Elephas maximus indicus: one gene and its partners. The protein of the gene in region 1 purifies or fractionates together with the protein of each later gene. This does not show direct contact. Links are inferred from orthologs where the notes say so. Each region holds a gene or a part of one and is shown in the gene's direction. Other genes may lie near its edges.

Evidence for each region. Proteins that work in one complex are often made in the same cells at the same time.
Region 2: the proteins of GDI1 (region 1) and RAB5A purify together in Homo sapiens (affinity purification with mass spectrometry; 3 studies listed by BioGRID and IntAct, counting the BioPlex papers as one, with this or other methods). This does not show direct contact. The link is inferred for Elephas maximus indicus from reciprocal best matches to the Homo sapiens genes GDI1 and RAB5A.
Region 3: the proteins of GDI1 (region 1) and RAB8A purify together in Homo sapiens (co-immunoprecipitation; 6 studies listed by BioGRID and IntAct, counting the BioPlex papers as one, with this or other methods). This does not show direct contact. The link is inferred for Elephas maximus indicus from reciprocal best matches to the Homo sapiens genes GDI1 and RAB8A.

What each region holds. Positions count from the first base shown.
Region 1 is NC_064846.1:2,006,400-2,013,480, reverse strand, and holds the start of GDI1 (rab GDP dissociation inhibitor alpha), read left to right. Parts: upstream 1-4,081; 5' UTR 4,082-4,193; coding exon 4,194-4,238; intron 4,239-5,394; coding exon 5,395-5,502; intron 5,503-5,665; coding exon 5,666-5,765; intron 5,766-5,896; coding exon 5,897-6,031; intron 6,032-6,524; coding exon 6,525-6,723; intron 6,724-6,945; coding exon 6,946-7,077; intron 7,078-7,081. Other genes in the region: ATP6AP1 (V-type proton ATPase subunit S1), read left to right, coding at 537-622, 1,008-1,246, 1,939-1,986, 2,075-2,306, 2,528-2,737. UniProt on the Homo sapiens protein: Regulates the GDP/GTP exchange reaction of most Rab proteins by inhibiting the dissociation of GDP from them, and the subsequent binding of GTP to them. Promotes the dissociation of GDP-bound Rab proteins from the membrane and inhibits their activation.
Region 2 is NC_064845.1:19,813,854-19,821,643, reverse strand, and holds the start of RAB5A (ras-related protein Rab-5A), read left to right. Parts: upstream 1-4,772; 5' UTR 4,773-5,123; intron 5,124-5,228; exon of another isoform or gene 5,229-5,572; intron 5,573-7,790. UniProt on the Homo sapiens protein: The small GTPases Rab are key regulators of intracellular membrane trafficking, from the formation of transport vesicles to their fusion with membranes.
Region 3 is NC_064821.1:36,342,971-36,350,640, forward strand, and holds the start of RAB8A (ras-related protein Rab-8A), read left to right. Parts: upstream 1-4,652; 5' UTR 4,653-4,686; coding exon 4,687-4,810; intron 4,811-7,670. UniProt on the Homo sapiens protein: The small GTPases Rab are key regulators of intracellular membrane trafficking, from the formation of transport vesicles to their fusion with membranes.

The sequences.
Region 1 (7,081 bases):
GGCTCTCTGCCAACCTTTTGGTTAGCAGCCAGGCGCTTAACTGTTTGCACCATCCAGGGCCTCCTTGGGAGTCTTACGTGAATGTATGTGGCGGGGTCTGTAACTATGGTCATATCTCTACATATTTATATCTGCATTTCTATATCTGTATCCGTATCATATTCTATATCCATGCCCATATGTCTGTATATTTATATCCCTGTCTGTTTGTATTTTTTCATTTCTCTTTGTTACACCTTGTCATTAGGAAATCGATAATCAAGGCTCCCAGGGCCCAAGGGAGGCTGGATGGAGGGCGGGATGAGAAACAGCTGCTGTTAGTCTGGGCTCATCAACAGCTACTAAAAACATCTGGTGAAAGGTTGATGCGGAACTGGCTCTGGCAAGGGTGTTAAAGCACCACACCACAGGTGACGAGCCAGTTGTGGTGGTGGTGCTTCACAACGGGGACATTTGGCAGTCCCCACCTCAACCAGGTGATCCAGTTGTGCGTCATCAGCACGTGACCCGGCTCTTTGCTCTCCCCATTTGCTTAGACGAGGTCATCGGGCAGGTACTGAGCACACTGAAGTCCGAGGATGTCCCGTACACCGCAGCCCTCACAGCAGTCCGCCCTTCCAGGGTACGTGCCCTTCCCCGCAGGGTGCCTTGGGAGGTGAGGGGTGGCGGGCCACAGGCAGGGCCGCTGTGGGCTGAGGACGTTGACATGGGGCGGCTCTGTATGGAGGGCCTGAGCTTCCTCCCTCCAGGCAGCAGGTGATAATCTTGCCCTGTGAGCTCATGGGTTGGTGTATGTGAAAATTAGTCAAAGTGGTTCCTGAGATTAAGGAATTAGGAAGATAATACAGGGTGCAGGCTGGCTGGGGAGGGCTTCTTGAAGGAAGGGCTCTGAGTCTGGCCAGTGGGTGTTGGTGTGGTGAAGAGGATTGCCTTCCTGGGGGCAGGGCAGCTGGTTTAGGGCTTGGGTCCAGGGTGGTGGTGAGAAGGCTCATTGGCTGTCTCCACAGGTGGCCCGGGATGCAGCCATGGTGTCTGGGGGTCTGGGTCGACAGCTGCTAGAAAAAACGACAGAGACGGATGTGCCTCACCCCCCTGTGAGCTACAATGACACAGCCCCCCGAATCCTACTCTGGGCCCAGAACTTCTCTGTGGCTTATAAGGACCAGTGGGAGGACCTGACCTCCCTCACTTTTGGGGCCCAGGAACTCAACCTTACTGGCTCGTTCTGGAACAACTCTGCCGCTGGGTGAGGACATTCGGGCTGGGGAGGAGCTTGGCCATAGAGGTGATGTTCTGCCTCCGTGGGTCAGGGCCGCTGGCGGGGAGGCAGCCGGACGTGGGGATGGCATGGCCTTGTAGGGTGTGGTCACTGTGGGGTGTGGGTAGTATCATGGGGTGGGGGCTGTTGGAGGGGGAGTTGCTCAGAGTTCTGCCTCCATCATGCTTTCTGGGCCTTGGTTGGGGCCTTTGTCGTTAACGCCTCATGGTCACCTGGGAACTTGGTGCGTCCCCTAGAGCGGAATCTCCTGGACTGAACATAGGGCAAATACTAGGCCAGCTTCCTGAGCCAGCTGTGGGGCTCCTGTGCCCTTGCTGTGTGGCCAGGGAGACTGCTACTCCTCCATTTGCCCTCACCCCCAAAAACCCAACCCATGTATCACTGCAACCCCACGTGGAATTGAAAGAAGAGGCAGTGGACTCTAGGAACCAGAGGAATGAGCCTTGAGTTATAGCCGGAAGACCTGGCTTCTAGCTCATTCCTGAGTTGAAATGTGACTGGGGGAAACACTCTCCTCTCTGGGCCTCAGTTTTCCCATCTGTAAAGAGGGAGCACTACATCCTCAGTTGTCATGAAGACCTGGGGGCAGGCTAAGTAGGGGTAGACGTGAGAAACTCGGTCCTTGAAGCCACTCACGGCCTTTTCCTCTGACCCCACAGACTCACACTGACCTACGAGCAACTCTTTGGTACCAGAGTGACATTCAAGTGAGTTCTGGGGCCGCCAAGGTGGGGCAGGCTGGGTGTGGCTCTGGCTTCCCCCACATGCCTGACCACTTGTGTTGCCCACCCCTAGGTTCATTTTGGCTAACCGCTTCTACCCAGTGTCTGCCCGGCACTGGTTTACCATGGAGCGCCTTGAAATCCACAGCAATGGCTCTGTCACCTACTTTAACGCCTCCCAGGTCACTGGGCCCAGCATCTACTCCTTCCACTGCCAGTATGTCAGCAGCCTCACCAAGAATGGCAATCTCCTTGTGCCCCAAATACAACCCTCTCTCTGGCAGATGACGCTCCAGGACTTCCAGGTATGGCGAGGGGAGCTACGGTATGAGTAGGGGGAGGAGAGAGGCCTCAAGAGTCTTCAGTGGCCTCATCTGGGCTCCTGTAGTTGAGAGTCCTGTTCCCACAGTGCCCCTGGCCCTGGGAGACTCAGAATGTCCACCACCTGGGGGATCTCAGCCCTTGCTGGACATCCTCACTGCAGGGGGCCATGAGGTCCCACCAATTGTGTCTTGTCTGGCCCCAGATCCAGGCCTTCAATGTGACGGGCGAGCATTTCTCCTACGCCAGCGACTGTGCCGGCTTCTTCTCCCCGGGCATCTGGATGGGGCTGCTCACCTCCCTCTTCATGCTCTTCATCTTCACCTATGGCCTGCACATGATCCTCAGCCTCAAGACTATGGACCGCTTTGATGACCACAAGGGCCCTGCCATCTCTCTGACCCAGATAGTGTGACCACCCTGCGCTGCTGGGGGGCCGAGGGGCGTGGCAGTGTCCTGGTCGTCACTTTTCCACCTCTGGTCACGCCAGACTGGAGGGCTGCCATAGCATGAAACCCCAAGGTCCCTCACCCTGGCTCCCTTCCCTTTCCATCCTGGGGGGCCCCCCTGTGTCTCCCAACAAGATGTATGTACATTCTGCATAGGTAGTAAGTAGACAAATCTTCCAGGCTCAGTCGAGGTGAGGGAGAGGGAACGTTAATTCTAGGGACTGCTTCTCCCCCTTTTTCTCCTCTCTCCAACATCGCCGCTTACTGTTTACAGTGCTTGTGTGCGGCACATGCCCCCTCCCCAAGCTTGACAGGGCTTCCTGCAGCAGCCTGCAGCTTGACAGTCCCCGAGTTTGGGGAGTATAGAAGTAGTATTTAACTGTGTGTCCTGCTTAGCTGTCGTTGTTTGATCTTTTTTGATGATGTCGTGCTAAAAAGCAGCAGTACCCAAACAAAACACCCAGTACAGTGGGATTTATTTTTGTGGTCTGAGAAGGAAGGGACCTCCATGGCAGGTGGGTTCAGTGTGATCCCTGAATTTCTAGCATTTTCCCACCAGGAGGGCCTGGCAGCAGCCTGGGGCACTCAGTTATTTTCTTTACTGATAAATAAAAACGGGTTGCCATGCGTTGGGCCTCTGGTTCCTCATTTCTCCACGGACAGAAGAGAGGCGGGAGGAAGGGCCTGGATGTAGCCGAGCCCGCCAAGGGGTGCAGCGGCCTTGCGGGGGTCCAGCTGGCAGCACCTCCAGAAGCTGGGAGAGGCTTTTGCCAGCTAGGCCCTCAACGGTTCAGCAGGAATGGGGGTCCGTGCCGGGGCGACGAGGGTCGGGGCGGTGCTGAGTCACGGTACGTGCAGCTCCTGGGGGGAGAGGCCGCCATGATAAAAGATACTCGGGGCTTCCGAGGAGGACCGCCCGGAGGGCTGGAGGGCGCGGTCGGCCGCCCCGCGCCGCCAGTCCCAACACGCCGCCCCCGGCCCTCCGCAGCAGTGCGTGGCCGCTGCGCGCGCTCCAGCATCCCGGGGGGCGGGGCGGGGCGGGGCGGGGCGGGGCGCGCGCGGCTCCCGCGGACGGATTCCTCGCGGGGCCGCAGAACCGACCGCCCCCTCCTGCGCCGACCACCCAGCCCGCCCCTCCCCACTCTTCAGCAGCCGCAGAAACAGGCAGCTGGGAGAGCTGCGCTGGTGCTCGAGCCCGGGCCCCAGCCGCCCTACTGGGACGCGTGCTGCTGAGGCTGCGCGGCGCCTGAGAGCGGCGGGGGGCGGGGAGGAGCCGGGACTCTTTGACGCGGCGGAGGCGTCGGACGTCTGAGCGTCGTGCCGCCATCTTTGGTCCAGTGCGGCGGCGGCGGCTGCGGCGGCGGCTGTGGTGAAGGAGGTGGAGGAGGAGCCGGAGCTGGCGCTGGCATCGAGGACTGAACCATGGACGAGGAATATGATGTGATCGTGCTGGGGACCGGCCTCACCGTGAGTCCGCCCTCGCGGCATCGGTGGCCCGTGGCCCCACTTCGCGACCACCTATCCCCGCGATGATGCACTTCCCAAACGACGCCGGCCCGACCTCCCGTCCTCTCCCGTACCCTCAGCCCTTCAGCCCCTCAGCCCCAGCGCCGGATGCCCCCGGCGCTTCTTGTCCCCCGAAAAAACAGCCTCCGCTGCCATCCCCACCCGACCTCACCTCTACCCGCTGCCGCGTCCCCGTCTCAGCGGGGTGCCCCTCCCAATCGCCCCCCGCGATCTCGGGCCCGGACCTCTCCCCCCCTCCACGACCCTCTCATCCAGCCTGCTGGGCCGGGAAACGCACCCTGCTTGGGCGACGCCCCGATGCTCCGACCCCGCCCACCGGCCCCCTATCGCCCGCACAGCGGCCCCCTATCTGCGCTAATCCGATGAAGGATGAGGTGTCCATCTCGATTCACGGTGTCTCGCTAGGGTAGGCCCTCATCCCGTCTCCCCAGCTGCTTCTGGGGCCGGGGGACCCAGTGAATGTTCCAGAAGCAGCAGCAGTGGGGCCGTTGAGCACATTCCGCTCCCCCACCGCAGTTCCCCATGGCGACCGCGGGCTGAGTCAGATCCGCAGCCTTTGTCCTTGGGTTGGTGACACCGACTAGGGCTTCTTCCCCGTAGCCTCGACCCAGCTGGACAACGTCCGCAGATGTGGCCGCGAAGGCTTAGGGTCGTCCGAACCTTCGGAGGAGGCGCGGTCCGGGGCGGGCGGGCGGGCGGATTGCCGCCGCCGGGTCTGCCCTGGGGCCTAGAGTTCTAGCAGCGCTCCTCGGACTCATTGTGTCTTAGCCGCCTTTTCCGCGGCCCTAGGGCCCCTACGTCGACGGGGGCTTTCTGGGCGTGTGGGCTGCTCGGAGCGGTCTTTGCCTCCAAGCGGCTGTTATTTCTTTTCTTGTGCATCTCTTGGCTCAGCAGGGTATAGAGGAGAAGCCTAGTGAAGCTCTGGCCTGCGGTTTCAGGTTAGGTGACCAGCTCTGGTGAGGAGGAGCTGTCCACAGGCACAGGGTCCTTGTTTAGATTTGCTCTTTTCTCAAGTTCCTGGGTGGGGAACAGTCAGGGCTCCTACTGCGAATGTGTGGGTGGGGAGTCATGTAGGGACTGTCACGTCTCCCCTTAGGAATGTATTTTGTCTGGCATCATGTCTGTGAATGGGAAGAAGGTGCTGCACATGGACCGGAACCCATACTATGGCGGGGAGAGCTCCTCCATCACGCCCCTGGAGGAGGTGAGATTCAGCCCCACCCCTAAAAAATAGAAACCTACCATCCCTTTAATCAACCTTCTCATGCGCTGGAAGCAGCTCCCCAGGTTCTCTCTCTGGGCAGCAGGGCTGGGGGCTGGGGAGGGAGGGGATGGCCCTGAGGTATCTCTTCCTGTCCTGCTTGCAGTTGTATAAGCGTTTCCAGCTCCTGGAGGGGCCTCCTGAGTCGATGGGCCGGGGCCGAGACTGGAATGTTGACCTGATCCCCAAATTCCTGATGGCCAATGGTGAGGGGGACGAAGAAGGTATTGGGGGGTGATCGGGAAGACCAGAAGCAGGTCAGGCTCCAGAGAAGGGGTAGTCAGGCCAGTTAGAAGAAGGGGGCCATGCTGATACTGCTGTTCTCCTTTGCCTACAGGACAGTTGGTAAAGATGCTGCTGTACACAGAGGTGACTCGTTACCTGGATTTTAAAGTGGTAGAGGGCAGCTTCGTCTATAAGGGGGGCAAGATTTACAAAGTGCCATCCACTGAGACCGAAGCCTTGGCTTCTAGTGAGTTCCCTGGGCCAAAGAATAGTTGGGAGGTGGGGGAGGCAGACTGCCCTTATTAATACGGGTGGAAAGGTCCAGACCAAGGTGCCCCTTTACCCAGGCTTCTATTTCTCGTACGGTACCAGTGGCCCTTTGCTCTATTCCGTGTGTGCCGCCTGTCATGCCTCATGGCTTGTTGCCAGGGTAGAAGTCCAGACATGGAGGGGCGTGGATGGGGCCTCCTGTTGAAAGACTTCAACCTTTGAAAGGGTTTCCACTTGATCTGTGAAGCATCCCCAAGCCTTGGAGCTGGAAGGGCCCTTAGAGCCTGTGCAGCCCAGCCCCCTCTTTGTATAGGTGGATAAACTGAGGTCTAGAGAGGCAGCGGGATTAACCTAGTCAGTGGCAGTCTTCAGCTAGGAGCTTGGGCTCCTGGTTTTTTGCTCTAACCTGGTGGGAAGAAGAGGTTTATGATTTCGTGGCAACAGGATTCCCCTCACAACGTTTTCTTCAGATTTGATGGGCATGTTTGAGAAACGGCGCTTCCGCAAGTTCCTGGTTTTTGTGGCAAACTTTGATGAGAACGACCCCAAGACCTTTGAAGGGGTTGACCCCCAGACTACCAGCATGCGCGATGTCTACCGGAAGTTTGACTTGGGCCAGGACGTCATTGACTTCACTGGCCACGCCCTGGCGCTCTATCGCACTGATGAGTGAGGGGAAGCTGGGATGGGGCGGTCCCCTTCCTCGAACACTGCCCTTCACACACCTGATTTCTATGCCCTCTGTGCTCAGCTACCCACTCAGACTGTTGTTCTGCATGTGACCCATGGTTCTTCCCCAGGGGGTGGGAAGGCCGGCTCAGTGCCTGGGTTGGGGTGAGGTGGCGGGCAGGAGGGGGTCTGCTGTTTGAGCATCTTTCTCTGCTTCCTCAGCTACCTGGACCAGCCCTGTCTTGAGACCATCAACCGCATCAAGCTGTACAGCGAGTCCCTGGCCCGGTATGGGAAAAGCCCGTATCTATACCCTCTCTATGGCCTTGGCGAGCTGCCCCAGGGATTTGCAAGGTGA
Region 2 (7,790 bases), on another chromosome or scaffold:
TACTTCATGGGAGTTGATTGTGGATCCAAGTAAAATGAAATCCTTGACAACTTCAATCTTTTCTCCGTTTATCATGATGTGGCTTACTGGTCCAGTTGTGAGGATTTTTATTTTCTTTATGATGAGGTGCAATCCATACTAAAGACTGTAGTCTTTGATTTTCATCAGTAAGTGCTTCAAATTCTCTTCACTTTCAGCAAGCAAAGTTGTGTCATCTGCGTACTGCAGGTTGTTAATGAGTCTTTCACCAATCCTGATGCAGCATTCTTCTACATACAATTCAGGTTCTCAGGTTATTTGCTCAGCATACAGATTGAATAAGTATGGCAAAAGGATACAACACTGACGCACACCTTTCCTGACTTTAAGCCACGCAGCATTCCCTAGCTCTCTTTGAACAACTGCCTCTTGGTCTATGTATGGGTTCTGCGTGAGTACAATTAAACATTCTAGAATTCCCATTCTTCACAGTGTTATCCATAATTTGTTATGATCCATACAGTCGAATGCCTTTGCATAGTCAACAAAACACAGGTAAACAGCTTTCTGGTATTCTCTCCTTTCAGTCAAGATCCACCTGACACCAGCAATGACACCCTGCGTTCCATGCCCTCTTCAGAATCCGGCTTGAACTTCTGACAGTTCCCTGTCGATGTACTGTTGCGATTGCTTTTGAAAGATCTTCAGCAAAATTTTACTTCTGTGTGATATTATTCCCCGCCCCCCCATCTCCACCCTGCTGTTGAGTCGATTCTGACTCGTAGCAATTCCATAAGGTTTCCAAGGCTGTAAATCTCTACGAAAGCAGACTGCCACATCTTTCTCCTGCAGAGCTGCTGGTGGTTTCTAACCGTTGACTTGTCGGTTTGCAGAGATAATCACTTTAACCCCTGTGCCACCCAAGTTCCCTGGTGGCGCAGTCGTTAAGCTTTCAGCTGCTAACCAAAAGGTCAGTAGTTTGAATCCACCAGCTGCTCTTTGGAAACCCTATGGGACAGTTCTACTCTGTCCTATAGGGTCACTATGAGTTGTAATCGACTCGACAGCAACAGGTTTTTGTTTTTCTTGTGTGTGTGTGATATTAATGATATTGTTTGATAATTTCCGCCTTCTATTGGAGCACCTTTTTTTGTAATGGGCACAAATATGGATCTCTTCCAGTTAGTTGACCAGGAAGCTGTCTTCCAAATTTCTTGATACAAATGAGTGAGTACCTCCAGTGTTGCAACCATTTGTTGAAACATCTTACTTGGTAGTCTGTCAATTCCTGGACCGTTGTTTTTTTCTCATTCCCTTCAATGCAGCTTGGACTTCCTCCTTCAGTACCATCAGCTCTTGAGCATATGCTACCTCTGGAAATTTTCCCCACAGAATCCTTCATTATTGCAACTCCAAGCTCAAATTTTTTTCTTCAGTTCTTTCAGCTTAAAAAATGCCAAGCATGTTCTTCCTTTTTGGTTTTCTAACTCCAGGTCTTTGCAGATTTCACTATAATACTTTACTTCATCTTCTTGAGAAGTCCTTTGAAATCTTCTGTTCAGCTCTTTTACTTTATCATTTCTTCAGTTCGCTTTAAAAAAAAAAAGCTACTCAATATCCAACAGCAAGTTAGGAGTAACCTCCTGTTGTGCAATTATTCATTCAACCAATGTTTGTTGAAAACCTGCAACATGAAAGGAACTAATTTGGATCCAGGGAACATGAATACCTGGAACAGCTCCTCAGTGATTCAAGCAGTTTGCAAAGCAATTGTGTTTAAGAGTTCCACTGCTAACCAATAGGTCGGCAGCTCGAATCTACCAGGTGCTCCCTGGAAACCCTATGGGGCAGTTCTACTCTGTCCTATAGGGTCGCTATGAGTCAGAATTGACTCAACAGCAACATGTGTAACCCAAGGGTAAGGAGCCATGGTGGCACAATGATTAAGAGCTTGGCTGTTAATTGAATGGTTGATGGTTCAAACTCACCCATCACTCTGTGGGAGACAGATGTGGCACTCTGGTTTTGTAAAGATTCCAAAAACCAAACTCACTGTCACTCAGTCAATTCTAACTCATATCGACCCTACAGGGCAGAGTAGAACTGCCCCACAGGGTTTCTAAGACTGTAAATCTTTACAGAAGCAGACTGCCAAATCTTTCTCCCACAGAGTGGCTACTGGGTTCAAATCGCTGACCTTCTGGTTAGCAGCCAAGCGCTTTAACCACTGCACCACCAGGGTTCCTTCTGTAATGATTAAAAAAACAGCCTTGGAAATCTCATGGGGCAGTTCTATTCCATCCTATAGGGTGGCTATGAATCGGAATCTATTTGGCAGCAATGAGTTTGGGTTTGGGTATCATAGTGAAGATCCTCTTAAGCTCTGTGAGAAACTGAACTTTGTAATCCTAAGAAGACTGAAGGGCTGAGGAGAAAAGTCTAGGAACTTTCTGAGGCAGGATGTTAGAAGAACCATTATAGAGAGTAAAGCAAAGTACTGGGAAACCACAGAGGAAAGAAAACGATAATTAAATCTGGGAGAAGTATACATAGACGCTGTCTAGAAGTTGGCATCCCAACTGAGGTGAGCCTGGCAACGATGGGCCAGGTAATGGTGTTCAGGTGGAGAGAACAAAGTAAGATGCCAAGATGGGAACATGTAGGTATGACGCATCATGCTTTTCCGGTTAGCATGGAGGAGCATAGGGTGGTTAGGGGATGTAAGAAGGTGAGTTGGGACTAGAGCTAAAGAATTTTGGACTCTATTAAGCAATGAGATATCATTGAACATTTTTGAAGAGGAGAGTGGCTAAAGTGTGAAGAGTAGATTAAAAAGGCAAGCTGTTTCTGCCATCTAGTTGATTCTGACTCAGAGTGACTCTATATGGCAGAACACAACTGCTCCATAGGGCTTCCTACACTGTAATCCTCACGGGAGCAGACAGCCAGGTCTTTTCTCCTGCTGAGCGGCTGGTGGGGTCAAAGCACCAACCTTTCAGTTAGCAGCCGAGCATTTAACCATTGTGCCACCAGGGCTCCTTCAAAAGGCAAGAACGTGCATTAATTCTAGCTTTTATGAATACTACCATGGCCCAGGCTTTGGGATTAAAAAAACACAAACCGTTGCCCATCGAGTCAATTCCTATTCATAGCAACCCTACAGGAGAACTGCCCCGATAGGGCTTCCAAGGAGTGGCTAGTGGATTTGAACTGCTGACCTTTTGGCTGGCAGCCGAGCTTTTAAGCCACTGCACTGCCAGGGCTCTGGCTTTGGGATTATAGCTCAAATTTTGAGACTAGAGAATTTTTAGCAACAGAGTGGACAATGGTTTATGAAGAAGAGAAGGAAGAATTGATGATTCTTTAGTTTCAAGAGAGGGGGGGACTGAGAACCTGTTAACACCAGTCACAAAGCAGAAGCAGGTTTGAGCAGAATAGCTTTGGTTGTCTGTTCTGGGGTTTTTTTTTTTTTTGGACGTGCTATTTACGTGCCAAAACTAATGTGAGGTATCCTCTTTCCTTATTCTTCCTGGGATTGTCCAAGAGGTATTACCATGACTAATATTATATTGGAACAACCCCTCGAGGATAAAGTGCCACAGATACCATTTAGGTATGACACGTTACGCTCTTCTGGTTAGTTATTGGGCAGTTGATCTGAATGAATGCGTGCTTAAGGGTTCAGATCATTTCTACTGCATTATGTTGGCAGAGTACCCACAGGATGCCTTGCTCTGATATACTTCAAAGACAATATCATGTCCCTTCAACAGGCTATAAATTGTAAACTGAAAAATGGTCCTCATTCTGAGGGAAAATCAATTTAACATTCTTCCTCTGAATTGCTAAAAGGATTTTGTTTGGATACAGGTGTCTTGCAGAGACTATCTATTGTGTGGGATTTTACTGAAGAAGTATGCCTTCAGTAGGTCTGCTGTAGAGGGTAATCAAAGTCTTGAGCTGGCTTTCAGTGGAATGTCTGTTTAAGAACTCGGGTCCTGGAGCCAGCTAGTAAAAAAAAAAAAAAAGTAGGTTAGAAAAACAATTTCATCACTAACTAGGCAGTTACTTTGGACAAGTTACTCAATCTCTATGCCTCAAATTCTTTACCTGTAAAGCAGGCACGCCTCATTCATTCATTCCATAACCATGACTGAAGATAAGTGGGTTCCAGGCACTGGGCTAGACACCAGGTTTACAGCGTTGAGGGCCACTCTGGGGGTTACTATTTTAATGTAGGAAGCCAAAGGAGAAACACGTTAGTTTCAAAATGAATACCTAGGAGTTTAAGAAATGGGATAATTCCTGGAAAGCACGTGACATGGGGGGCAGTAGAGCAAAAAGCCCCTTAGCCTAGTTGCCCAAGATTGAGGTGTTCCGGTGTGGGGAGAGGGGGGCTGTGAGCTAATATTCCCAGAGGGAACCTCGCCGCCCAAAAGGGCTCGGAGTAACAAATTTAGCTCTTCAGGTCTTACCCCCAAACCAGGCAGTAGCGAGTATGCTCCGCCCACGCCGGGAGCCCCAGGGCCCCGGGCTCTGATAACAAAGGCGCCAGCGAGGGCGGGGCCGCGCGCGCCTGTGATGGGGCAGGGCAGCAGGCAGCCCGACCCGACCCGGCCGCTCGCGGGCATCACGTGACACGCCCATCCCGCGAACGTGCTCCCGGGGTGGGCGGGGCCTGAGAGGGGGCGGGGAAGTGGATAGAGCGGTCGGACTGGCTACGACAGGAAGTGACGAAAGGGCGTAGTTCGCTACGTGCAGCGACGTGGCGGCGGGGTTGGCGGAAGTGGCTCCCGCGCTGGGACTTGAGTGTTTGTGTTTTGGTTTGTGAAGAAGCCGGCGGCCGGCCTAAGGGGAGGAGGCGGAGGAGGGAGGAGGAGGAAGAAGTGGTCGGACCCAGAGCGCCGGCGGCGACGGAGGAGGAGAAAGGAAAGAGGAAGGCGGAGCGGGGAGAGGCGGAGACGGAGTCCGACGGGGGCGGCACCAGCGGCACGAGCCCAGCACCGTCCAGTCTGAGGGGAGCGGCGCAAGGAGGAGACGCTGCCGCCGCCTAAGCCACAGCCTCAGCCTCAGTTTCATCCTTCGGGCTTGGGATCTGCTGCCGGGAAGCTTTGGCCCCGCAACCCCGCGCGCTGCGGTCGCAGGTAACCCAACCGGCCCCTCCCCCTGCCAGATGGGGCCCAGACCCCAGGTTACCCGCGGCCCCCAGCCTGCCTGCACCCCTGCCGGCAGCGAGCCCCCGCCCTTACTCCTCACGCGTGCCGTTGCTGTGGGCCAGAGCGTCGTCGAACCCGGTGGCCGGTCCAGTCGGCCCTGGTGACTCATCCGTCAGGGGGCTTTACTGACCGGGATTTGGGGACTGGCTGTGGGAGGGACGGGTGTCACCCTCTCCCTTCTCAAGATGGCGACGTGGGAAGAGTACTGGAGGCCGCGGCTCCGCCTGGCGCCTGCCGTGGCCGTCTTGGGGGTCCCGGGCAAAGCCAGGCTGGGTTCTCGGGAGGAAGCTGCGAAAGATTGCCAAGGGGCCTTGCTGGTCTTGCGTATCCCGGCGATCTGGAGTTGGCCAGCAACTACTGGGGTACACTACTAGGAGGAGCCGGGGCCTACGGCAGGTGTGAACTGGGGGGAGCTCCGCCTACCTTCTACTTCCAAAGACGGGTGATCGTGGAGGTGGGGTGGGGAGGCTTTTCAAAATAGGCTGTCTAGAGAGTCGTGTGTCATCCATGGAGGATGGTAATCCACAGTTTTAAAGAAACTCAAGATAACCAGACCTCTGGACCCCCTCGGCAAATAGAGACCGTGAAGTCTGCTCGGGTGTTTTTTTCCCTGGAAACTCGTTACCCCTCCACCTCCCCCCGCCCGTGACTTTTAGACTCGTTAAGCTGAGAACATCATAATCCATCTATTTGGCTTTTGTGTTTTGCTTAAGTGGAGCCTAAGTGTTGAGTTAGTTGCTTTTCTCGTAATAAAGAAAAAAACACTTATGGGAATATTCAGGACGGTTCAGAAACTTTAAAATGGGGATAAATAATATGAGCTCATCGGGTTGTCGTGGTTAAAGTACATAGAACAGTGCCTGGACAAAAGAAGTGCCCAGTATGTTAGCTGTTATTAGTAAAAATTTGATCAAAGAGCACCTAGAAGGACTTTAGTTATAGAGTACTGGTTATTTTCAAAAGGTTTAAAAATACGTTATTATGCAAAATCCTTGTTTTGCCGTACAGACGAAAGTTCCAGCAAGTAGTGAATACAAATGAATGCACATAAAGTATTTTTTAACCTTAATGTTATGCGAACTGTGTGTTGGCAATTCGATTTAGTTTGCTATTTCCTGTTTGAGACCCTTGGAGAAATATAACCCAGTAACTTTAACCCTTGCAAGGCAAAGCTAGATCAGATTCTCGGTTTTCACGGGAATCTGATGTTTTCCCCGAAATTTTAGAAATACCATCAAAATCCTAGCATGTTGTCCTTGATAACTAATTGTTTGCTGTTTTGTAGATAACATGTAACAAACAATTGGAGAATGTTTCAGCTGCTGTTGTGTGTAATATTATTTCAAGGTGTGTTGGTTCATTTTCAGTCTGAAGGACATTTAATCTTCTCTTCAGATGGCCACTTGAATTGCCAGTTTTCAGGCCCTACTGTGTTTTGGGCATTGTGTTAGAGATTCATTTCATGTGTCGTCTCATTTAATTTTCACAACAGCTCTACACATTACGTTTTACAGAAATTAAAGAACCTAGGCAGGAGTCGGTATAACCGAGATTTGACCCTCAGTCTAATGTGTTTAAGGTAGAACATTTTTTTTTTTAATTATGAAAAATTTTTAAAATATTCAAAAGTAGGGAGAATAGTATAATGAACCCATCACCAGCCTCAGTTGTGTTATGGCCAACTTGGTTTATTTATGCCCCCATTGTTTGAAAGCAACTCTCAGACAGCATATCATTTCATCTGTAAATATTTTAGTGCTGGTTAAAGAAAAAGATACAGTATTGATAAAGGTAAGAGCTCTTCAGAGCTGTTGGATAGGTGATTTTATTGTCTTGATCCTCCTGGCTATGTTTATTAATGATTTCATTATCAAAAATGTTCCTTATATAAACACAAGTTTTATGGAAAAGCAAATTTTCTATATGGGGTGACTAAATAAAATAGAAAAGAACTTTTTAGGGAGAGATTCATCTTCAGGTTTCGTATATTTTATTGGCAAGCACGCAGTCAGATCTTGATTAAAGATGGGAGAAAACTGTTACGATAGCTTTCTGATTAGATTGAAAAAATGGAATGGATTCTTCAAATATTTACTTATTCTTTTTGAGATCGAAAGTTGACATTAGATAATGATAAGAGAAGACGTGGAAACTTACCACCCAGGTTAATTTTTTCAAATGTGTTGTTTAATAGAAAATAATGAGATTTATCGTTAATGACACTGTAGAAAAGTATAGTAAATAAAACACTAATCCCACCACAAAGAGAACCACTGTTAACGTTTTTTTCGTATGATGTTCTTGAGCAGATGAGAAAACAGTTTTAAGTCTCTTAGCCACTAGACACACAAACCTGGGGCCTTAAAATATGTTACTCCAAATTAATGAAAAACATGCACCATTTAACAGAGGCTTTCAAAATTAACATATTTTGAGCTCTTTTGGAGTGCCAGGATCTGTTTTCAGAGATTTCCAAGCTAGTTCTCAAAACTATTTTAACTCAAGTCCTCTAGCTCTACAATGTGAACCCCGAGCCACCTCTGGAGTTGCCTGGGTTTGAAACTCAGCTTTGTCACAGCTCTGTCACAGCAACTG
Region 3 (7,670 bases), on another chromosome or scaffold:
TAAACTACAACTTGTGTCAGTTTTAGAATGTGTGGGCCCATACCAGCAACTTTGCTTCTCAATATTTGGTCAATTGATGGGAAGGTAACTGTGCCAAGAACTTAGCAAATTTTACTGGCTTTATATCATGACTTCATGATTCAACAATTATGTTCTTCATATTACAGATGAGAGCACTTTGTCTCAGTAACACAAAAGCTCCTGTTCTTAGTTATCCCCAATCTTGCCTGAACCAGGCTATCAAGAATGAGTAGAATTTTAATAGATGGTGATAGGAGCAGGGAAGATGGCCCACGTAACCTGAGTCAGGAAAGCACAGGACCTGTTTGGTTAAGACCTTCTGTGTGTTGCAGAAATAAGAAAGCTGGATAGGCTGGGTCCAGACTGATGAAAGCCTAGATTTAACTTAATTTGGTCTAGAGTGCAGAGCCACGGAAGACTAAGTACTGCATTAGGAAAATCCATTTAGCATTCATTTTAAGAAAGGATGTCAAAATCGACTCTTGAAGGCAACGGGTTTGGGGCTTTTTTGGGTTTTAAGGGGGGGTAAGAAGCCTTAGTGATGCAAACAGCTCAGCTGCTAAACAAAAGATTGGCGGTTCGAATCCAACCAGCTGCTCCGAATCCAACCAGCTGCTCCGCAGGAGGAAAAAACCTGGCAATCTGCTTCCATAAAAGATTACAGCCAAGAAAACCCTATGGGGCAGTTCTACTCTGTCACCATGACATGAGTCGGAATTGACTTCATGACACCCAACAACAATGGGAAGGGTGTGGCAGACTAGAGGCAAGAAGACCAGGATAAGGACAGTGGTTGCCAAGGAACGGGAGGAAAGAGACGATCTGAAGGAAGCAACCTCAAGAGTGAGCTGACGGAACTTGGAGTGTCCAAGATGACTCCAGTTTCACTGCCTGAATTGCAGTCCCTTTATTTTGGGGGAAGGAGCCCTGGTAGTGCAGTGGTTAAAGCACTCAGCTGCTTACTGGAAGATCAGCGGTTCGAACTCACCAGCCTGTCTGCTTCCTTAAAGATTTACAGCCTTGGAAACCCCATGTTCTAGTCTGTCCTGTAGGGTTTCTATGAGTAGGAACTGACTCAACCACAACGGGTTATTTCAGGGGAGGGCAGGTGGAGGAGGGATCAAAAAGAGAAGTGAAAGACGAAAAAATTAAGTGCATATGCAAACAGGTTTCTGTTAACAACTACAATTAAAAACATATTAATTTGACATTTATCTAACACTGTCCGTTGCCTGGGTGGCACAGATAGATGGTTTGTGCTCAGGTGCTAACCAAAAGGCTAGTGATTTGAACCCACCCAGCAGCGCCACAGAAGGCCTGGTGATCCGCTTCTGTAAAGGTTACGACCACCAAAAAAAAAGCCATGGAGCTCAGTTTCACTCATGGTGTTGCCACAAACTGGAATCTACTCGACGGCAACAGGCTCTTGTTTGCTGGGAATATCACTGAATAAAGTATAACCCCCTTCTCTATGTGTGCTACCATTGTTAGGACTGAAGTTACCCCTTACGTGTCTGTTTTCTCCCTTCTTGCCACCCACTTAGGCTGTAATCTCAGGATACTGTTTTGGTCATCCTCATGCCTCAGCACTTGGCTTAAGCGATCCACGCTTCTTTAACCTGTCTCAGCTCAGCTCTTGGGGAGTTCCCAACCCCATGAGGTATCGGTGAATCACAGGGTGAGGTGAAGACTAGATTATGTGGGGTGTACGCTAGGTTAAAGACTGGGGTGTTATGCTGCTGGGGGCTCTCTGAAGGATTTTAAGCAAGGGATGGATGTAATAAGGTAAGTGTTTTAAAGTGAACATTCTACAGGGTGGAGGCTGGATTAGAGAAAATGAGCAGGAAGACCAGTGGAGAAATATAAGGACCTGACTGTAACAAATGGAAATGGAAGAGCAAAATTCAAGAGCTATTTAGAAGCTCCAGGATGCAAGGGGTGAAAGATGTCAGAGACTTAGGTTTCACAGAAGGTAATTCAAGACACGCATGTCTGAGTGGAAGTTGTTGTCTGCCATCAAGTCAATGATCCAAGCACAACAGAATAAAACACCGCCTGGTCCTACGCCACCCCCCATGATCCGTTTCAGATCAGACCATCGTGATCCATAGGATTTTCATGGGCTGATTTTTGGAGGCAGATCACCAGGACTTCTTCCTAGTCCATCTGAGTCTGGAAGCTCCACTGAAACCTGTTCAGCATCATAGCAACATGCAAGCCTCCGCTGACAGATGGGTGGTGGCTGCACCTGAGGGGCATTGGTCAGGCATCAAATTTGGGTCTCCCACGTAGCGAGAATTCTACCACTGAACCACCACTGCCCTCACCTAAGTGGAAGATGAGCTCAGTTGTGGACATGTTAAGTTTAAACTATCTTTGGCAAACCCACTCGGACATGCAAGCATGACTGGACTATGGGTAAAGAACCGAGAAATAGTGTGGAGATACTGGAAGAAAGGACTTAGGACAGAAAGAACCATGTGGAACACCGACACTTAAGGAACAAGAAGTTGCTAGTTGCCATTGAGTCAACTCAGACTCATGGCAACTCCACGTGTGTCAGAATAGAACTATGCTCCAGACAGTTTTCAATGGTTGATTTTTTAGAACTAGGTCACCAGGCTTTTCTTCTGAGATGCCTTGGAGCGGGGGAATGGAACCTCTAAACTTTGTTTGCAGCCAAGCATGTTCACCATTTGCACTGCTCAGGGACAAGCAGAGACCTCCAAAAAAGACTGCAATGGAATGAGACGCAGTACCCAAGAAAGGGAGGTAGGTGGTAGGAGAAATGAGGTGTCAAGAAAGAGAATTTCCAGAGGGAAGGTGGTCAATAGTATAAAAATACCACAGAGGGTAAGGCCTGTGAAGGTCAATGGCTCTGGCTGAAGTGTTTCTTGACCAGAACTAATTAGCAGATGAATAAGCTGGGGTGGAAGGGAGTAGGAGAAGCTGGGGCCATCTTCTGGAAAATCCTCAGGCGAGTCTCCAGGCTTCTCTGTGTGCTCCAGCAAGTGATGTGAGGCCCTGAGCCCAAGCACGCAGTTGGGACCATCAATCTCTGAGAATCAGGAAACCATATTGACCAAGAGCTTCTTGCTGGTTGCTGTCAATTCCGACTCATGGTGATCGCATGTGTGCAGAGTTAGAACTGCTCCATAGAGTTTTCAAGGCCACGACCTTTTGGAAGCAGATTGCCAGGCCTGTCTTCAAAGGCACCACTGAGTGGGTTCGAACTGCCAACCATTTGCCCCCTTGGCCTCCTGAAAAAGGATATTGAGAATGATTGTACAACTCAAAGAGTATAATCAAATGTCACTGATATACATGTAGAAATTGTTGAGACGGTGTATGTCTTGTTACCTATATTTTCACCACAATAAAATTATTTTAACGAATAGTAAAAAAAAGTTTGGCCTCTGAGTCTTACAGGTCTGCATTCAAAAACCAACTTCTCACTTTGGACCCTGGGAAAGTCACTTAACCTCCCTGGCCTCAGTTTCCTCACCATAAAACGTGGATAAACAATACCTACCTTATGGGTTGGTGTGGCGGTTAAATACATAAAGCGTTGAGAACACTGCTAGGCACGGAAGTACTGCTCATAAATGTTACCTATAATTATCCTTCATGCCCTTGAGGGTCTTGAGACACTCCCACACCCACCCGCACCCCAAGTGCAGCTCTGAGAGCTGACTGGGCACAGGCGGCCGAGTCTAGGCTGAGGCCTCGAGGCAGAGTTGCCAGACCAAAAACCAAGCCAAACCGACTGCCGTCGAGTAGATTCCGACTCTTAGCGATCCTAGAGGACAGAGTAGAACTGCCCCGTAGAGTTTCCAAGGAGCGCCTGGTTGCCGACCTTTGGTTAGCAGCCGTAGCACTTAACCACTAGACCACCAGGAAACCTCTAATTAGGTCAATTAGGTCGGAGGGCTGGTCCTGAGAAGCCTCAGGGGCCCTGAGGGCGCAGCTTGGGGCAGTGAGGCCACTGAGGTGGCAGAGGCCGGGAAGCCTCAGGTAGGTTCCTCGTCCAGCACTGGGATCTCCAGGGGCCTCTTTCCGACTGCGACGTACGCCCCTTGTTTCCCTGCTTTCCCGAGACGACGACGCCCCCCGAACCGTTCCCTCCCGCGCTCGCCCCAAAGCCTGCTGAGGCTGCGCAGGCCGTCGGGGCGGGACCAGACGCCCTTGCGCGCGTGCGCCCTCTGCTGGCTCTTAATGGTCTCCCAGCACGCATACGCACGCGCCACAGGCCCCCGCCCCCGGGCTGCCAGCGCGCGGGGCCGTTGGCGACGATTCCCGCCCTCCCTGTCCCATAAGGGAGGGAGGCGGGGCCGCCCCAGAGTCGGGAAGAAGCTGGACCATGGGAGCCACGCCCACGTCCCGTTCCCCATTTGAAGCCCCTCAACTCCGCACCGCCAGCCAATCGCAGCCCGCTCTGACCCGAGCACAGGCCAATGGGCAGCACGCTCGTGCCGCTTCCGGCTCCGTGCTCGGTTCGCCCCTTCCCTGGTCTCCGCGCGCAGGGCTGAGAGCGGGTGCGGGCGTCGGCCGCGGTGACGTACGGTGGGCCGGCAGCCAATGGGGGGCGGGCTCGGCGCTGATGGACGGGGCGAGCGTCCAGTGGCGAGGCGCTGGCCGCACTTCCCGTCGGGGAGAGAGTGTAATATGGCGAAGACCTACGATTACCTGTTCAAGCTGCTGCTGATCGGGGACTCGGGGGTGGGGAAGACCTGTGTCCTGTTCCGCTTCTCCGAGGACGCCTTCAACTCCACCTTCATCTCCACCATAGGTAGCGTGGCCGGAGGGCGGCCGGGGGCACGGGAGGCTCGGGCCGGGCGCTCGCCTGAGGGGCCGGGACTGAGGGAGAGATCAGGGCGGACGGCCCTAGGGGTTCTTAGAGGCTCGAGGGGGCCCTTGGGACGACGACCAGCCACCTCCACCACCGTCGGGGATTCCCGGGCCCTGGGAGCAGTGGGGGGAGCCAAGTGCCCATTTTGCAGATGAGGAGACTGAGGCCCCGATCTTCAGCCCGCTCGTCGGGGAGTGTATGCCCTGGGCTGAGGTCTTCGCGCCTGTCATTGCGTTCAGTTCTTGCAGCAGCCCTCGAAGCCGTTCTTTGGGGGTCCCCATCTTACAGAAATGGAAACTGAGGCATAGGAAGTTAACTGTAGTGAAAGGACCATGTCAGCTGACTTCATTGACCATTTACTCTTTGCCAAGCGCTTTTTGCACGTTATCACCCTCTCTGCTGTCCTCTGGGTTAGGTGCTGTTGAGAGCCCCGTCTGCTGGGATGAGGAGTTTGAGGCTCAGGGAGAGAATAGGACTTGCCCAAGGTCACACAGTCGGTACGTGATGAGGGTGAGATTTGGACTCAAGTGTCTGACTTCAAAACTCAGGCCCAACCATGCCAAATAGATGCCAGCATGCACCTGCAGGACAGGCACAGGACCCCAGTCTGCACCTGTCCAGTTCCTAACCTTGGAGAGATCAGGGGCTGACCCTGTATCCTCCTTGGGTAAGTTTTCCTCTAGAAGGAATGATGACAGGGAATCAGGAGCTTTTACTTTCCTGCCTTCCATCCCTCAAGAGTGACAGCAATGGCTAGTGACAGCCGCTGCCCTGGAGCCTGTCATCACCAAGGTTATGCCAGGTAAAAGCCTCAATGAGAAACTGAAATCAGCCGCTCCCACAGACAGCCCTAACTGCCCTGTTGCAAGGCCCAGGACACAAGTTGTCACTTTGAGAAACAGCCTTTTCCACAGAGCCAGCCCACGTGGTGGTTGAACAGAACCGGCCTGTTACATCTTGGCTCTGACATCCATCAAAGTGAAGCTGGCTTCTCTTTGTGCCACAAAAATTTCATTGCTTACATTAAAAAGTTCTACTGGGAATAGCACAGATTAAGTGAAGTAGCTTTGCATGGTAGTGGGGATGTGGGGGACAGTCACTAAACTGAGGTTGTTGCTGTTAGCTGCTGTCAAGTGAGCCCCAACCCACAGTGACCTCACACACGCGGGAATGAAATGCTGCCCCGCCCTGCACCATTCTGATGATTGGTTGCAGATTGGACCACTGGGATCCATAGGGTTTTCACCAGCTGACTTTCAGAAGTTGATCACCAAGTCTTTCTTCCTAGTTTATCTTAGTCTAGAAGTTCTGCTGGAACCTGTTCAGCACCATAGCCACACACAAGCCTCCACTGACAGATGGGTGCTGGCTGTGCACGAGGTGTATTGGTTGAGAATTGAACGCAGGTCTCCCACGTGGAAGGTGAGAATTCTACCAGGTGTCAGGTAGAGAGAATTAGACTGGAAGCCATCAGACCTGGTGTCCTATTGCTGTTTGCCCTTGAATAAGCCACTTGATTTCTCTCAGCTGTTTCTTCTCATGAGGGGTAGTGCCCTCGTCTTGGCCAGTGTCCTGGTGGCCAAGGATCAGAATTATATGATGACTAAGGGATTGTTGTCACTGCCAGGGGCTGCCTAGCAGAAGCAGAATGGCTCCTGCAAGGACAGCATCTCACCCTGGGGCACAGGTGTATCTGAATCCTCCCACTTCCCCCACCCCAAGTTCAAACCCTGGGATGGCCCTTGCCTCCCTTCCAAACCAGGAAGTGGCCTTAACTCCTGGCAGACTGTGGCTTGATCTCAACCCATATCGTGCTAATCTTGAGCGCTGGTGAGCTCGATTCCGGCATTAGATTTTTTTATTTGGTTTTTAATTTTTGATCAGAAAACCCAATCAAACATTTGAGGGCTCCAAGGAGGCTGGCTTCCTCCATTTACAGACAAGGAGACCAGGCCCAGAGAGAGGAGAAAACTTGCCCAGGGTCGTACAGGGAGTTGGAAGTGGGCGTTGAACCCAGGACCCCTCCCTCCTGCCCCAGTCTTCTGTTCATTGCATTTGTAGCCTGCTGCAGCCCTCTGTCTTCTTTTGTTGTTGTTAGTTGACACAAGACAACCCTCTATGTGCAGAGTAAAACTGCTCCGTAGGGTTTTCAAGGCTGTAACCTTTCAGAGGAAACCCTGGTGGCATAGTGGTTAAGTGTTAATGGCTGCTAACCAAAGGGTTGTCAGTTCGAATCCACCAGGCACTCCTTGGAAACTGTGGGGCAGTTCTACCCTATCCTATAGGGTTGCTATGAGTCTTAATTGACTTGACAGCACTGGGTTTGGTTTTTTGGTTTTAGCCTTTCAGAAGTAGATCACTAAGCCTGTCTGCCAGGGTGCCTTTGGGTGAACTCAAACTGTCAGCCTTGTGGCTAGTAGTCAAGCACTTAACCATTTGCACCACCCAGGTCACCTTCTAGGAGAGTTTAATTGAGCTCGACCTTGAAGTTATGGCCTCATAATCATTAGGCCTCATAAAGTTTACACTTCCTAATCAAATGGGGTGTGTTCGTAATACCCAGAAGTGTGGGGCAGAGTGTTGTCTCAGAGCTCCACCAATCAGGCAGGGCTGCTTTCTTTCGTGGACCCCTGTCTCTCTGCATCAGGAGGTGGGGAAGGTTTGGGGTAGAGTCAGCTCTGGGCTGCTGAACTCTGAAATACAGCTTCATGCCAAGACAATCCTGTGTTGGCACCGCCTGTTCCTCTGGGTTTTCCTCGTAGATCAGAGATTGAGTGCCTGTTCATTTTCTGCCTGGATG